Linked DNA regions of Elephas maximus indicus. The protein of the gene in region 2 purifies or fractionates together with the protein of the main gene of each other region. This does not show direct contact. Links are inferred from orthologs where the notes say so. Each region holds a gene or a part of one and is shown on either strand. Other genes may lie near its edges.

Region 1 (7,987 bases), on a different chromosome or scaffold from region 2:
TTAAGTGTTAAAATGCAAACCATTAATAAATTTAGATCTGTTATCTGACTCTTTCCAATACTGATGGGAGAGGGAGTGTCAGGAGATGAAGTGATCGCAAAGAAGGGTAGACAACATCTGCCACTGAGGAAAGAAATGGGACTCAACCAATTTTTGAACACTTCACTCAGGCTCTCATGGATAGACTGAAACATAGTGCAGGCCCAGGTTAACAAAATTTCAAATGACAAATGGTATTTGAGTAGGTCAGCCCAGGCCTTTGGACAAGCTAAAGTTTTATTTCTGAACATAAGGGTGGAGGAAGGTGGGATTACGTAACGACTACCTTTACTTTTTCAGCTCAATGTATGGTCAACTGTGTACACTGGATGTTTCATACTCTTCAGCTTTGTGCCCCAATCACTATAGACAGCTTAGGAAACACTATCTTCCATTAACTCTGCAATAATTGAACGCCGCATTTTATGTGAATGAATGTCTGGGGCCCCAACTATGGCATTACAGCAGGGTACTCCTGTAAGTTTAGAGTTCTAATGAACATAACAGCATCGAACTACCATGTTTTACAAATGTTGACCCACTGCAACCTGGTGCCTCTCTTTTTACTTTCTTGTTGTGAGTGAAGAGAAACCGTGGAAGGAGCTGAAAAATATAAAAAGTTGCCCAGAGTGGACAGAGAAACTCTTCCCCTAGAGCTAGTACCCCGAATTCAGACTTCTAGCCTTCTAACCTGTGAGAAAATTTCTGTCCATCAAAGCGAAAAAAAAAAAAAAAAAAAAAAACCAGCAACAACAACAAAGAAAAACAAAAACCCAGTTGCTGTGGAGTTAATTACGACTCAAGGTGGCTCCATGTGTGTCAGAGTAGAACGGTGCTCCATGGGTTTCTGATGGCTGATTTTCAGGAGGCCTTTCTTTGGAGGTACATCTGGGTGGACTCGAACCTCCAACTAGAGTGCAGTGCAGGGACTCCATGTAGAGGAGCCATGTTCTCTAATCCATACCTCCTTTCCTCCAATTTGTTTAAAAAAATATTTCTCATCTTCACTTTTTCATGTTCTTAACACTCTCTATAATCATCCTCTTACACAAAGTTCTTTCAGTAAAGATTTTGATAAGGCAACCAATACAAACCATCAGTTCTCACCTGCACATCAGTAGGTGATGTACATGAGTTCGAACAGGCTCGACAGCAATGGGTGATGGGTGAGCAGTTCCATCAGGGATAAAACACACGGCTTCTAGTCACGTGGGATTCTATGGCCACATTAATAATGAACCTAAGCACAGCTTACACACTTGGCTAGAAGCGAAGTCTCATATTCCCCATTTTGTTCAAAAAGCAAGTTGACTTCCAGGTAAAGATAGATGATGAGGTCATATATATAAATTCCTATGTACACGTATCATTTACAAAATTAATTAGCTGTGATACATTGAGAAAAATGAAACAAAATAGACTGGATATGGTGTTAAGGACAAAATTCTAGTTTTCAGAAAAACAGCAAAGTAGATACTGGGTAAGTAAAAATTAGCTATGCAAGCGCTCTAGTAGTACAAGTAATTCTCTGAAAAGGAAAGCAAAGCCAGTGCAAGAAAAGGCAGAGGCGTTATCAGAAGGGATGATAACCAGGGAACGTATCACAAAGTAGAACATGCATTAAAGGAGACACATATATGGCAGGAAGGCTGACACTACCTAGTGAGGATTCAGTGGGGTTGTTTGTGTAACGGAGATGGAGGTTGATGCGGGTATCCCCTGGAAAATTAGGAGGGAGCGTGTAAGCAGATATATTTAACATCCATCCAACACTCATTTATAGCTGGATGCATGTAAAGCGGAGACAAAGAAAGGAGTCTGCAGCTGGGAGGACATTCAATAAACAGAAAAAATTAGAGAAAAGCTACCTTTTATTGGTCATCTTTACTATGCCTTTATCTCATCATCTTACTCGAATACAACTAATCCTGGGATAACTGTATTTTACAGAAAAAGAGACAGGCTCAAAGATGTTTAAGTAGCTTTTCTAAGCTCAGCACAGAGATACGAACAAGCGGCAAGGCAGACCGTAGATGATACGTCTAACTCCAAGAGTCTGAATCGTCTTCCACGCCTGAGTAGGCTTCACACCCACGTGTTCCGTGGCACACAAACTGGCCACTTCCCACAAAACCCGACACGGCCGTCATCCGATCCAAGAAAAAAGCGACGCATTTCTGATGAAGGGGCTATCTGTTCATTTGCCGGATACTTACAAAGCGTCCACCTAAGTGCCAAAGCAAGGAACAGAACGGTGACCAGACACAGGCTCTCTGCTAGGAAGTTACGGTGTAGTGCGCTCCCGCACCGCTTCCCGCTCCGGAGCAGGGTGCTCCGCCGCATTGGGCGCGCAGATCCGGCGCGGGAAGGGGACGTGGAAGCCAGATCTGGGGAGGGAGGGTCGCAGCGCGCAGCGCAGCACGGAATGAGCGCTCAGGGCGCCGGGGAGCGCGGGGACAGCGCAGGCGGGTCGAGGAAGGGGCGGGACGCGGTCTGGGGGTCGGTGCGCGCGGGGTCCCGCTCCAGAGGAGGCGTTGGAGGTCGGGCTCGGGAGGGGCGGGGCGCGCGCCAGGTTGACGCGGGGGTCCCAACGCCGCACGCGCGACGAACTACGCAGGAGCCAAGAGAAAACTCTCAAAGGATAAGGCCATCGGCCCGCCCTGCGGCTCCGGCCAGTCCTCCTGGAAGATCTTCGAAGATGTCGTCTGGGGCAGAAGGTCGACCTCAAGTCTTCCCTAGCCTCACCCTCGCCTGTGGGCCTTCGCTGTGGAAGCGGAGGCGAGGTAGAGGAAGGAAAACGGGAACTCACCGTCCATGGTCTCCCTCACCGCGTTCAGATTGGCTGCCGCCGCCGCCGCCCCAGCGCCGCTACTACTCGCCATGGCTCAGGCCGGTCCGGCCGACGGAGGCGGGGAAGGGCCTGACCCGGAACTGGAGCGCCTTCCTTTCCCCCGGGCAATCCCACCGCGCGTCCTCCGCTCACGCCAGGGAGGCTCCGCCCCTCGCGCTCGTCGCCAGCGTGCGGCTGCGTTCATTTGAATTTGGAGCCTCGTTACTCTACGCGGAATGTGAAGCGTGGAGTTTCCATTCGAATTTACTACGCGGCCTCGATGCGATTGGCTGGTTCGCGGACAGCGATGGGACGCGATTGGCCAGTCGTCCACGAGCCCCGTGCCCTGGTTGGCCTAAGACAGCGCGGAAGCGGGGAGTTAAAGAGTCTGTGCCTGTCGTGGGCTCTGGGTCTGGCCCCTCGGGAGCACCCTGGAGTCGCTATTGAGGGCTTTCTGCCCTGGGAAGCGTGGTTTCCTTTTTACACACACCAGTAGGTACGTTCTTTATAGTTCCTGGCCTTTCCTCCTGTTTGTAATAGGATAGCTCACTTTTCCCGGCTCCAGACCTGCCAGCCTGCTCGCCCCGGGGTCAGTGGGAGCAGCCAGGGGGTAGGTGCGGAAGAGAGGGGCGCCGGGAAAGGCTGATCGCCTAGGGGCTGGGGGTGACACCGGCATTGATGTCCTCCTCTGCCCTTGATCCAAGGAAGCCAGCTGCACTTCAGCCTTCCAAGAAGTAGATTCTTCTTTTTCTTTACTTGTATACCCCTCTACCTGGAAATAATGCAGTCTTTCCTTCTATCCTGTGTATCTTGACGAGAGGAGGATGTTTAAAGAAGGATAACTTCAAAGACCGTTAATCTCTTAATCCTAATCATTTTTTTTTTTAATCAGTCATACTTTTCTGGCGAGGTCTAATGTTCAAGAAGGGATCCGTGCACAAGCGTCCTTATCTTTTAAATTCTTGCTATTAAGAATTGTTTAATAATAACTGCAATTTAGTGGGATTTGCTGGGGTGTCGGAAGGATGTTGAAACTCTTTAGAGACTTTAGATGAGGAATAAAAAACTGTAAGTCCACTAGTCGAAAAGAATCTTGTGCCCGTTGGTAACATTTAGTTGCCTCGAAGGTGTATCTGAGCTCTAATTTGGACGATGGCCACTTAACTTGTGTGAGCTTGTTAATTCTTCCGCAAAGTGAGATTTTATCTCACTAGCTTCCAGGGTTGTTTAGTGGATCGCTTGAGAAAATATAAGTGATGCTTTTTTGTGAACTGTACAAAATACCCAAGAGCATTAGGTTTTGAGTTCGTTCTTTTTATGAAACATGTGTTTCTTGAATACATTTTAGTTGTCAGAATTAACATCTACGGCGCTCTGTGGTTTTAGTACACATATTTCTGGTTTCGTTTTAGTTTTCTCTTTGTGCTATGGAAGATGTCAAAGAATCAAAGATGCAAATAACACCAGAAACTCCAGGAAGGATCACTGTTTTAAATCCTTTTGAAAGTCCTAGTGATTATTCTAATCTCCATGAGCAAACTGTCTCCAGTCCCTCTGTTTTTAAATCAACAAAATTACCGGTAAGTTATTTTTGACTTGTGTTTACAAATAACTTTAAATTTAAATATCCTTTCTTTACAAAGTAAGGGAGAAATATATCATGGAGTACGTATAGCTGGAATATGCTTTTTTCATTGCAGCATTCATTGTAATCTAGTGGTTGGGCTAAAAATAAGTTAGAAGATTTTTTTAGTTAGCATTTTTTTTTTTAATTCAGCAGAAAACATAGGATAGCTCCATGCCAGTGCAGGTGTAGTTAGATACTATGGGTAATGATGTATCTACTAATACCAGATTAGAGAAGAAGCTGTGTCATCTAATAGCTACTCTGTTCTCATTTATTTGGCAAACATTATTTGAAGGCTGCTATGGTGTCAGATGGAAACCCTGGTGGCAACTGGTTAAGAGCTGCAGTTGCTAACCAAAAGATCAGCAGTTCCAACCCACCAGGCGTTCTTTGGAAACTCTGTGGGGCAGTTCTGCTCTGTCTATAGGGTCGCTATGAGTCGGAATTGACTTGGCGGCAACGGGTTTGGTTTTCAGTTTATGTGTCAGATAGAGCTAGGCATAGGGGTTACACTGTGAGATAGTCAAGATCATTATACGGAAACTCTCAAGAAGCTTATACTGTAATGCAGGGGCCAGCAACTTTCTGTCAAGGATCAGACAGGAAATATTTTAGGCTTTGCACATTATCTGGTCACTTTGGCAACTACTCATCTCTGTCATGTAATGCAAAAACAGCTATAACCAAAAAACCAAACCCATTGCTGTCACGTTGATTCTGACTCACAGCAACCCTATAGGACAGAGTAGAGCTGCCCCAAAGGGTAACCCTTTAGTTAACAGCCAAACACTTAACCACTGTGCCACCAGGGCTCCAAAAACAGCCATAGACAATACAAATAAACGTGACTGAGTTCCAATAAAGCTTTACTTAATGGACATTGTAATTACAATGTTATGTAATATTCACGTGTCACGTCATTGTAATTTTCTTCTGGAGTTTTTTCAGTCCTTTGAGAATTTCAAAACTATTCTTAGCTTGTAGGCTCTACAAAAAGAATTCAACCCCTGCTCTAATAGACACAACTAAACTAGCAATTTTAAGATAGTGTGATACGTATTATGATTGACGGTTAAGTCCAAGGGTAATAGGGAAGAGAAAGTGCTCTTTAGGAGATTAGCAGAGGCTTTTTTTTTTTTCATCAGTTTAGCTTATTTTTATTGTTATTTGCTGCACTGGAGAAGTTCTTTTGAAGCCTGATCTTTTAACCTTAGTAAGTTGCTTAGTAAAACTACAAACTGGGTAACTGTTTACGCTCCCTTTTCTGTCATCCTGGACAATAAACAGATGTGTAGAAGAAGAAGGTGCGGCAGTATTACAGTTTATATTGAGTCTTTTCATTAATCTGACCCAGTGATATTTAATTGACCTTTTTTTTTTTTTTTTTTTTTGGCTCATTAGGTTTTACTTTTCTCTTAGTCTTAAATAATAAGATGTCTGCAACATTTTCCTCAAATCCAGAAACCATAGCATCTTGGGGCTTTAGGTCTGAATTGTAAAAAATATATTTCTAAATACGGATTGCAGTTTGGATAAGCTTTTGATTCAGCTGGGTAGTTGAATAAGAAATGGCAGCACTTGTTACCATTCATAATTATTTTCAGAATCAACCAGTTTATGAGCTTTTACAGCCACTTCTATGGTTAGAACTTTGCTTAATTTCTGTTTATTCTTGGTGATAGTAAAGACCCTTGATAACTCTAAGAAGTTTTTACTTTTACGTGGGTATGTTGCATCATTGATGAGTATTGTTGAATTTTTTCCCTTTTTGTGTCGTGATTTTTCTGTTTTTATATATAGGGATGCTATGAGTTGGAATCTACTCAACGTCAGTGGGTTTCGTTTGGTTTTGTATATAATTTTAAAAATTAACCAGATAGATTTTGATATTTCAAAAGAGTTATAGTCAAGTAAGTTGATTTAGTGTGATGATTACCATTTGCCTTTGAATTTAGTGGTAAAGTCAAATTTTAAGATAAGAACTTTAAAATATTTTGTATTATAGCTTTTCACATTGTTTTTGAAGGTGACATTGGTTAGCATTTTGATGAACTAGTTTAGTTTGCCTCTACTGATAAGCTTACTTTCTTTTGTTAAGACTCCAGGGAAATTTAGATGGTCTATTGATCAACTAGCTGTAATAAATCCTGTAGAAATAGACCCAGAGGACATTCATCGTCAAGCTTTATACTTAAGTCATTCTCGGTAAGTTTTTCTTCCCTGCACCAAAGTGTAATAACATTCTGTCAAGTGAAGAGAGATAGGAAATTCCAAAGGTTGAATATTTTTGTATCTAAAGATAACAGGGTGGAAAAATTTCAATTTGTTCCATTTAAATAAGGAGTTAGTCCAAAGAACTCTATCTGCAAAGATTCCCTTGATGAGAGTTCCACATCTGGGTGGGAGTCCTTTTCTTTTAGAGATAGCCTTCTTCTTGGGCTGCTTATGAAGTAACTCTGCCTCTTCAGCACTTGATAGAGGGCAAGGCGTTTTGAAATTCATACCTTTGTACATGATTACGGTTTCTGTCATTGACTTTTTAAAATTTTATTTTCCTTTTTAAGAGTGTTCTCTCTCTTTTTTTTTTTTTTTGCCATGTGTGCATAAAGCAAAATACTGTTTTGTTGCCATCTATAATTGGAGAAGCTGAAAGTCCCCTTACCAAGTTAAGACACATTGAATGGATGAGTGTTCACTAGCAATAAAGAAAACTTTTCTAGAAAATCATCCAACTTTAACATAGTACACCTACCAAAAAAAAAAAAATCCATTGTCATGGAGTTGATTCCAACTCATAGAAACCTTGTAGGATAGAGTAGAGCTACCCCATAGGGTTTCTAAGGCTGTAATCTTTCTCCCACAGAGCAGCTGGTGATTTGAACTGCTAACCTTTTGGTTAGCAGCTGAGCATTTAACCACTGACCACCAGAGCTCCTTATACTACACTTACCCATTGCTGCTGAGTCAATTCTAACTTATAATGACCCTATAGGACACAGTAGAACTGCCCTGTAGGATTTCCAGGGAGTGGCTGGTAGATTTGAACTGCCAGCTTTCTGGTTAGCAGCCAAGCTCTTAACCACTGGGCCTCCAGGGCTCCTTGGAATTACATTGCCTTCAATTCTTCGTAGTAACCAGAAAAAAAACCAAACCAAACCCACTACTATCAAGTTTATTCCGACTCATAGCAACCCTTTAGGAAAGAGTAGAACTGCCCCATAGGGTTTCCAAGGAGTGCCTGGTGGAGTTGAACTGCCGACCTTTTGGTTAGCATCTATAACTCATAGTAACCAGAGTAGCCTGAATTTATTTGTTGATGTATTGTGTAGGCTTCAAAGCACTAGTGTGCCTCAGACTTGTGCGGCTTAATGATGCCTAATATATTGAGAACATGTACTTCCTTGGGGGCACAGACCTAGTTTTTGATTCCACATGTCAGGTAGCAGTGTTTGTTTGATGGGACTCTTCTTGTTTATATCAGTTGAAGAGTC
Region 2 (7,879 bases):
AAGTTGGCCAAGACCAGGCATTTGTCAAGCTAAAATCATCTGGGGCCCAGGAGAGCCCTGCAAACGTGCTCCCCCACCCCCTAGACGTCACCACAACAGCCTTAAGCTTAAACCACTACTCCCTGTCCCAGCACGAACACTGGACTCCAGCCCACAAGGCTCTCACCTGGCTCTAAAACCCTGAGCCTTTCAGCTGCAGCTCCATTTACAGCTCTGGTGCCAGGAACATCTCCCCTTCTTGCTCTCAAGGTTGGCTGTGTATGCTAATGCTTCTGGGCAAATTCTACACACTCCCTGTGCCCTTGAGCTGGATGGGGTCCCACTTTAGTTCACTATGCCCTGCTGTGTCCAAGGGTCTTGCCATGAAATACAAAATCAGTGTCCCACCAGGTGGAGAGCAGCGGACTGCATGGGGACCTCTGTTCTCCCACTGATGGCAGACCAGGCAGCCGTTACCACCAAGAGAGCCGACAACAGGTTTAAGACAAATGCATGTGTCAATCACCACAGATTCAAAACACAAATGGGACAGGCTTCACTAAAACACTGCAGCGCCAGTGCACGGGTCTTAGTCTAGGCCCATGAACATGAAAAGCACCCTCAGAAATGAGACGCGAAATCATCTGTGAATTTTCTAAGATGAAGGTCTTTCATCAGCTTCTCAAAAAGTTCTGTGACCCAAACAAGGTACAACTTACTAATACATATTAATTTGGAACTTCACATTGAGAAAGCTAGACTCTAATCTTGTCTAATGGAAAACAGATGCTCAGCATACAAATATCATACTTTCACGGCACATAAACATCAAATACTGGTCGGAGGCAGAACGTCTCCAACAATGAAAGTGGAACACAAACACGAACTGGTGGTACGTCCCCGAAGCATGCATGTTTTCATCAAGAAGCACTCATGGTTAGAAGGCAAGAAACACAGGATGTGGCCATGGAGTCCCAGGCAGGCTCAGCACTGACCCAGCCACTTCCCAGTTTTGGGACCCTGGGCAGGTAGCCTGTCCTTTCTAAGGCTCTGACACTCAGGTGCCTCATCAGAAAAGAGGGAAATGATAGTACCTATGCCACAGAGCTGCTGTGGGTTAAATAAGATAATTCTCATAAAGCACTGAGGTGCCCGCACATAAAAAGTTCTGCAGTTGTTATTATTGGAAAAGCAGAAATAACTCGTTGCTGTTACTACAAAGGGCAAATACTCTGGAAACATTAACTCCGTTATCTGGAAAATGGTGGATTTCACACATAGACAATCAGACCAGCATTACTGACAATGCCTCAACCATCAGTTCTTCCTTAACCACAAGGAGCCTTGAAGAAGGAACCTCGAACCACATGCAGAACAGGAAAACTGCAACTCTTTGGCTGATGGCTTCTCGATGACTGTGGGTTGTCCTCTGCTTTTGGATTGAAGGCCATGTTGGTAATACAAAAAGGCAAGGACATTTGTTTGCTGCTGAAACGAAACACCCTCCACCAAGCAAACACAGGTAGCGAGCTACTTCTGAGTGAACGTTGTTTTGAAACATCATCTTCAAGAAACTTTACATTTGTGGTAAAAATATAACACAGACATCCCCACATCACAAACATTAACACTGTAAGGAGCCTGCTGTTCTATCTGGATTTGGGGAACAATTCCTACAAGATGGCAGCCCTCGACTACAGGCAGTACCATCCCCTGGGGATCTGTGGAAATGTGTAGGGGCAACAGGCTGTCACAGTGTCTGGAAGGTGCTCCTTGACTTAGTGGGCAAGATGTAGGAGTGCTGTCCCACCAAAAATGCCAGTAGCGTCCCCACCAAAAAACAAAAACATTTAAGAACAGAACCCTGGTGGCACAGTGGTTAAGAGCTCAGCTGCTAACCAAAAGGTTGGCAGTTGAAATCCAGCACCTGCTCTCTGGAAACCCTAGGAGGCAGTTCTACACTGTTCTATAGGGTCGCTGAGACAGAACATACTCGATGGCACCTAACAACAATTTAAGAACATTTAAAAGCTTACTTAATCTTTCTGGTGCTCTAGAATTCTCTTCTCTGTTCGTTGCCACAAAAGGAGGAACACAAACTCGCGTGACTGAGCAGCACTTCTCTCCTGAGAGCTACCGGAGGGATGAGCGGGAGGAGGCGATGGAGTGGTACGTCATGTTTTGCCGTGACAGAATGAGGCACACGCTAGTAGTGAAAAACATTTGATTACAACACAGAAGAAGCTGAGAAAATCTTTGTTTAGAGCTCAAAGGTAATTGCACTAACTGGCTTGAAAAACGTTACCTTACAACTTGGAAAAATGCCAAGAACCCTAACGTTTTTCCAGAAACAGGAAAGTAAAGAAATAGTCCTCGGTATGAGACAAGAAAATGAAAAATAGACTCTTGATCCATAACAGAAGCTCTTAGGCCTAAAGATGACCAGGTGGGGCTGTAGCCACAAACCTTTAGTTGCAGGGTAAAGCTGACAAAAAGCTTTTCATCATGGGTCGCTTACTTCTATTTTCATTACACGTGGCTCTCTTATAGAAACAGCAAGCACCCCCTTTTCCTTGCTAGAGCACTTATAAGCCCTGCTCCACGAGGAAATCTTCTGGCGGGTGGAGTTTGTCCCTGTGAGCCCCCGGCCCATCCCCCACAGACGGTCCCATAGCGCCCCCTGCTTCTCTCGGGCGCTCCCGATCTAACTGGGTAGCTGTCTCCGCCGTTAAACATCTGCCGCCCTTCTCCGCTGCAGGCTCCGGGGCAGCAGGGACCCGGTCTGACGCTGGCACCCGTGGCCGCTGAGCACCTGGCACAGCGTCCGGCACACCGGTGGCGGGGCAAGCGCAGAGCCGCGCGGACGGGGGCCTGGGGTCCCCGCGCCCCCGCCCGCCCAGCGCCCGCACTCACCGCCGACTCAGCGCCGCCCCGCCCCGAGCCGCCGCAGCCCGCAGCGACGGCGGAAGTGATGCGCGCGACGTCACGTCCGGCTCCGGACGGTGGCCGGCAGGCAGGGGGAGAGGCGGTGCCCGGCCATGCAGCTGCCGCCCGCCTTGCGCGCCCGCCTGGCCGAGGGCCCCGGAGCCGCCGAGCCGCTGCCCGTGGTGCGAGACCCCGCGGCGGGGGCCGCGCCCTTTCGTTTCGTGGCGCGCCGGGTCCGCTTCCCGCGAGAGCACGAGTTCTTCGAGGTGCGCAGCGTGTGCGCGTCTGTGTGTGTGTGTCCGTGTGTCCCTGTGCGTCTCTGAGTCTGCGCGCGTCCGGGCAGTTGCCAGCTGGGGGCCGAGGTCTCAGGGGGCGGAGCGCCACGCGGGGCGGGGCCGGAAGGCTTCTGACCCCGCCCCACGGCACCTGTCTATTCCAGGATGGGGACGTGCAACGGCACCTCTATCTACGGGACGTGCTCATGCAGGTGGCCGAGGCCCCCGCAAGGCCCAGGTGAGCAGCTCCAGCGCCCACAGCGCCGCCTTCTGCTGTCGACGCTGGCGCTTCGCCCCACACTTACCCCACACCCACGCTCTGCCCTCACCTCGTAACCTTTTCACCTCTGCCCCAAGCCCCCTTCCTGTGCCCTTGCTTTGCAGGCCTGCCTACATCAGCATCAGGTCTGGGTGCTCCAGGAGTTCTCCGCCCGGGCTCTGCCACCAAAAAAACTGGAAACACCTGTTGCTGTTCAGTCGATTCCAACTCACAGTGACCCTATAGAACAGAGTAGAACTGCCCTATAGGGTTTCCAAGCCTGTAAAATTTTATGGAAGCAGACTGCCACATCTTTCTCCCTGGAGGAGCAGCCGGTGGGTTCTAACCACCGACCTTTCGGTTAGCGGCTGAGCACTTAACCACTGCGCCACCAGGGCTCTGCCACACTTACCTTTAACCCTCCTGGGAAGTGCCTTGTGCCCTGAACCACTGTGCCAAGGTTTGCGTAGCTGTCTCCCCCACTTCCTACCTTGTTTATGAACATCTAATGCGGGAAAAGTGGGGTTTTGAATTGCAGAAGGCTTCATGAGACTGCTTAGGGAGAACTGTTGGCAGGAGATTCAAACAGGGCTTTCTGTCACTGACTGATGGAGGGGCGCCTCTGTGAGACCTGCCCTCCCCACCTAGGGTGCCAGAGTTCACCTGCCAGGTGGCAGGCTGCTGCCAGGTGTTTGATACCCTGGAGGGCTACGAGCACCACTACCACGTGCTGCACAGGAACGTCTGCTCCTTCTGCAAGCGGGCATTCCCCTCCGGCCACCTGCTGGACAGCCACATCGTGGAGTGGCATGATGCTCTCTTCCAGATCCTGGCTGAGAGGCAGGACATGGTGAGCAGTGGGCCACGCCACGGGGCTGGAGCCAGTGTGGTCTGGTGCCAGGGTCACCGTGTTGTCATTGGGTACAGTAGCCAAGGGTCACGGTGTCCCTCCCATCCTAGGGGTGTGGGGGCAAGGCCAGGGGTCCCTTCCTGCCCGACACGTCTGATCATATGCTTCCCCAGAAATGAAAGCATGGCGGGGGGGGGGTCTAGGGTTATGATGGTAGAGTGGCACGTTCTGTTTCAGTACCAGTGCTTGGTGGAAGGGTGTGAGGAGAAATTCAAGACCAGCCGAGACCGAAAGGACCACATGGTAAAGCGTCACCTGTACCCTGCAGATTTCCGGTTTGATAAGCCCAAGAAGAGCAGAGGGTATGTGCAATGCCAGGTGTGTGCTGCCATGCCCACACCACCGTGTGTATCCACTCCCTGTCTCCAAAAGAAGCTTGTTGCCTAACTCCCACACTAGGATGTAGGTGCCATGGCTAAGAGCCTGTCATTGTTCACTGTTAGATTCAGCCACAAGTAACAGAAACCCGAAAACCAAGGGTTATTAGCTAGAGGACGTTAGACAAGTAGGGGTTTATTTTTTGTGTGACTGTTCACTGAACGGAGGGCAGGAAGGGAGCCTCTGGCTGCCCAGGCTCTGTGTTGGGACTGACTCTGGTCCAGTCCTCCGAGTCTGCCCTGGGCCCCTTAGTCCTTTAGGAGCACCCCACTTTTCTCCTGGCTCATACGTCTCTGGCCCACACCTGCCTTCTGTGGAGCACACTGGGCCACTGGCATGCCGTGCGGAGACAGCCTCCAGAGGGAGCCATGGCCACTGCGGTCCTTGTGGTTGTGTCCCAGGCCGTGAACCCCTCATGTTGGGCCCTCCGGTTTCTCATTTGTCCTGTGGTGTGTGTTCACGAACACGACAGCATAAGTACTTAGCAGCCATGTTATTTTCTAGAATGTGCCACACACAATTTGTTCACAATAACATCCAATACTTCAAACTGTGGGGAAACACCTCTGGAAATAATGGTTAAATTTGTGCAGTGTTTCCTTGCCTTTTTTTTTTTTAATTTTTATTGTTTTAAGTGAAAGTTTACAAAGCAAGTCAGTCTCTCATACAAAAACTTATATACACCTTGGTATGTACTCTTAGTTGCTCTCCCTGTGATGATGTAGCACACTCCTCTGCTCCACCCTGTATTTTTATGTCCATTCAGCCAGCTTCTGTCACCCTCTGTCTTCTCATCTCCCCTCCAGACAGGAGGTGCCCACATAGTCTCATGTGCCTACTTGGTCCAAGAAGCTTACTCCTCACCAGTATCATTTTCTATCTTATAGTCCAGTCCAATCCCTGTCTGAAGAGATGGCTTTGGGAGTGGTTCCCATCATGGGCTAACAGAAGGTCTGGGGACAATGACCTCCAAGGTCCTTCTAGTCTCAGACCATTAAGTCTGGTCTTTTTACGATAATTTGAGGTCTGCATCCCACTGCTCTCCTGCTCCCTCAGGGGTTCTCTGTTACGGCAGTCATCGGTTGTAGCCGGGCACCATCTAGGTCTTCTGGTCTCAGACTGATGTAGTCTCTGCTTTCTGTGTTCATTTCTGTCTCTTGGGCTCGTAGTTACCTTGTGCCTTTGGTGTTCTTCGTTCTCCTTTGCCACAGGTGGGTTGAGACCAACTGATGCATCTCAGATGGCTGCTTGTTTGCATTTAAAACTCCAGATTCCACTCACCAAAGCGGGATGCAGAATGTTTTCTTAATAGATTTTATTGTGCCTGTCGACCTAGGTGTCCCCTTCCCTCTCTCTTTTTTTTTTTTTACCTGTGTTTCTTTTTTTCTTTTTTTATTAACTTTTATTGAGCTTCCAGTGAACATTTACAAATCAAGTTAGTCTGTCACATATAAGTTTATATACATCTTATTCCGTACTCCCACTTGCTCTCCCCCTAATGAGTCAGCCCTTCCAGTCTCTCCTTTCGTGACAATTTTGCCAGCTTCCAACTCTATCCTCCCATCCCCCCTCCAGACAGGAGATGCCAACACAGTCTCAAGTGTCCACCTGATATAATTAGCTCACTCTTCATCAGCATCTCTCTCCTACCCACTGTCCAGTCCCTTTCATATCTGATGAGTTGTCTTCGGGGATGGTTCCTGTCTTGTGCCAACAGAAGGTTTGGGGACCATGACCGCCAGGATTCCTCTAGTCTCAGTCAGACCATTAAGTGTGGTCTTTCTATGAGAATTTGGGGTCTACATGCCACTGATCTCCTGCTCCTTCAGGGGTCCTCTGTTGTGCTCCCTGTCAGGGCAGTCATTGATTGTGGCCGGGCACCACCTAGTTCTTCTGGTTTCAGGATGATGTAGGTCTCTGGTTCATGGGGCCCTTTCTGTCTCTTGGGCTCTTAGTTGTCATGTGACCTTGGTGTTCTTCATTCTCCTTTGCTCCATGTGGGTTGAGACCAACTGATGCATCTTAGATGGCCGCTTGTTAGCATTTAAAACCCCAGACGCCACATTTCAAAGTGGGATGCAGAATGTTTTTGTAATAGAATTATTTTGCCAATTAACTTAGAAGTCCCCTTAAGCCATAGTCCCCAAACCCCCGCCCTTGCTCCGCTGACCTTTGAAGCATTCATTTTATCCCGGAAACTTCTTTGCTTTTGGTCCAGTCCAATTCAGCTGACCTTCCATGTGTTGAGTGTTGTCCTTCCCTTCACCTAAAGCAGTTCTTATCTACTAATTAATCAGTAAAACACCCTCTCCCTCCCTCCCTCCCTCCCTCCCCCCTTGTAACCACAAAAGTATGTGTTCTTCTTAGTTTATACTATTTCTCAAGATCTCATAATAGTGGTCTTATACAACATATGTCCTTTTGCCTCTGACTGATTTCATTCAGCATAATGCCTTCCAGGTTTCTCCATGTTATGAAATGTTTCACAGATTCATCACTGTTCTTTCTCGATGCATAGTATTCCGTTGTGTGAATATACCACAATTTATTTACCTGTTCACCCGTTGATGGACACCTTGGTTGCTTCCAGCTTTTTGCTATTGTGAACAGAGCTGCAATAAACATGGGTGTGCATATTTCTGTTTGTGTGAAGGCTCTTGTTTCTCTAGGGTATATTCCGAGGAGTGGGATTTCTGGGTTGTATGGTAGTTCTATTTCTAACTGTTTAAGATAACGCCAGATAGATTTCCAAAGTGGTTGTACCATTTTACATTCCCACCAACAGTGTGTAAGAGTTCCAGTCTCTCCGCAGCCTCTCCAAGATTTATTATTTTGTGTTTTTTGGATTAATGCCAGCCTTGTTGGAGTGAGATGGAATCTCATCATAGTTTTAATTTGCATTTTTCTAATGGCTAATGATCGAGAGCATTTTCTCATGTATCTGTTAGCTGCCTGAATATCTTCTTTAGTGAAGTGTGTGTTCATATCCTTTGCCCACTTCTTGATTGGGTTGTTTGTCTTTTTGTGGTTGAGTTTTGACAGAATCATATAGATTTTAGAGATCAGGCGCTGGTCGGAGATGTCATAGCTGAAAATTCTTTCCCAGTCTGTAGGTGGTCTTTTTACTCTTTTGGTGAAGTCTTTAGATGAGCA

The links. Proteins that work in one complex are often made in the same cells at the same time.
Region 1: the proteins of TUBGCP2 (region 2) and MZT1 purify together in Homo sapiens (affinity purification with mass spectrometry; 4 studies listed by BioGRID and IntAct, counting the BioPlex papers as one, with this or other methods). This does not show direct contact. The link is inferred for Elephas maximus indicus from reciprocal best matches to the Homo sapiens genes TUBGCP2 and MZT1.

What each region holds. Positions count from the first base shown.
Region 1 is NC_064832.1:65,153,966-65,161,952, forward strand, and holds the start of MZT1 (mitotic-spindle organizing protein 1), read right to left. Parts: upstream 3,011-7,987; 5' UTR 2,922-3,010; coding exon 2,849-2,921; intron 1-2,848. Other genes in the region: BORA (protein aurora borealis), read left to right, coding at 4,297-4,449, 6,595-6,701. UniProt on the Homo sapiens protein: Required for the recruitment and the assembly of the gamma-tubulin ring complex (gTuRC) at the centrosome.
Region 2 is NC_064834.1:82,913,045-82,920,923, forward strand, and holds the start of TUBGCP2 (gamma-tubulin complex component 2), read right to left. Parts: upstream 3,018-7,879; 5' UTR 2,893-3,017; intron 2,887-2,892; exon of another isoform or gene 2,446-2,886; intron 2,425-2,445; exon of another isoform or gene 2,285-2,424; intron 2,186-2,284; 5' UTR 2,016-2,185; intron 1-2,015. Other genes in the region: ZNF511 (zinc finger protein 511), read left to right, coding at 3,018-3,170, 3,344-3,417, 4,087-4,288, 4,526-4,650. UniProt on the Homo sapiens protein: Component of the gamma-tubulin ring complex (gTuRC) which mediates microtubule nucleation.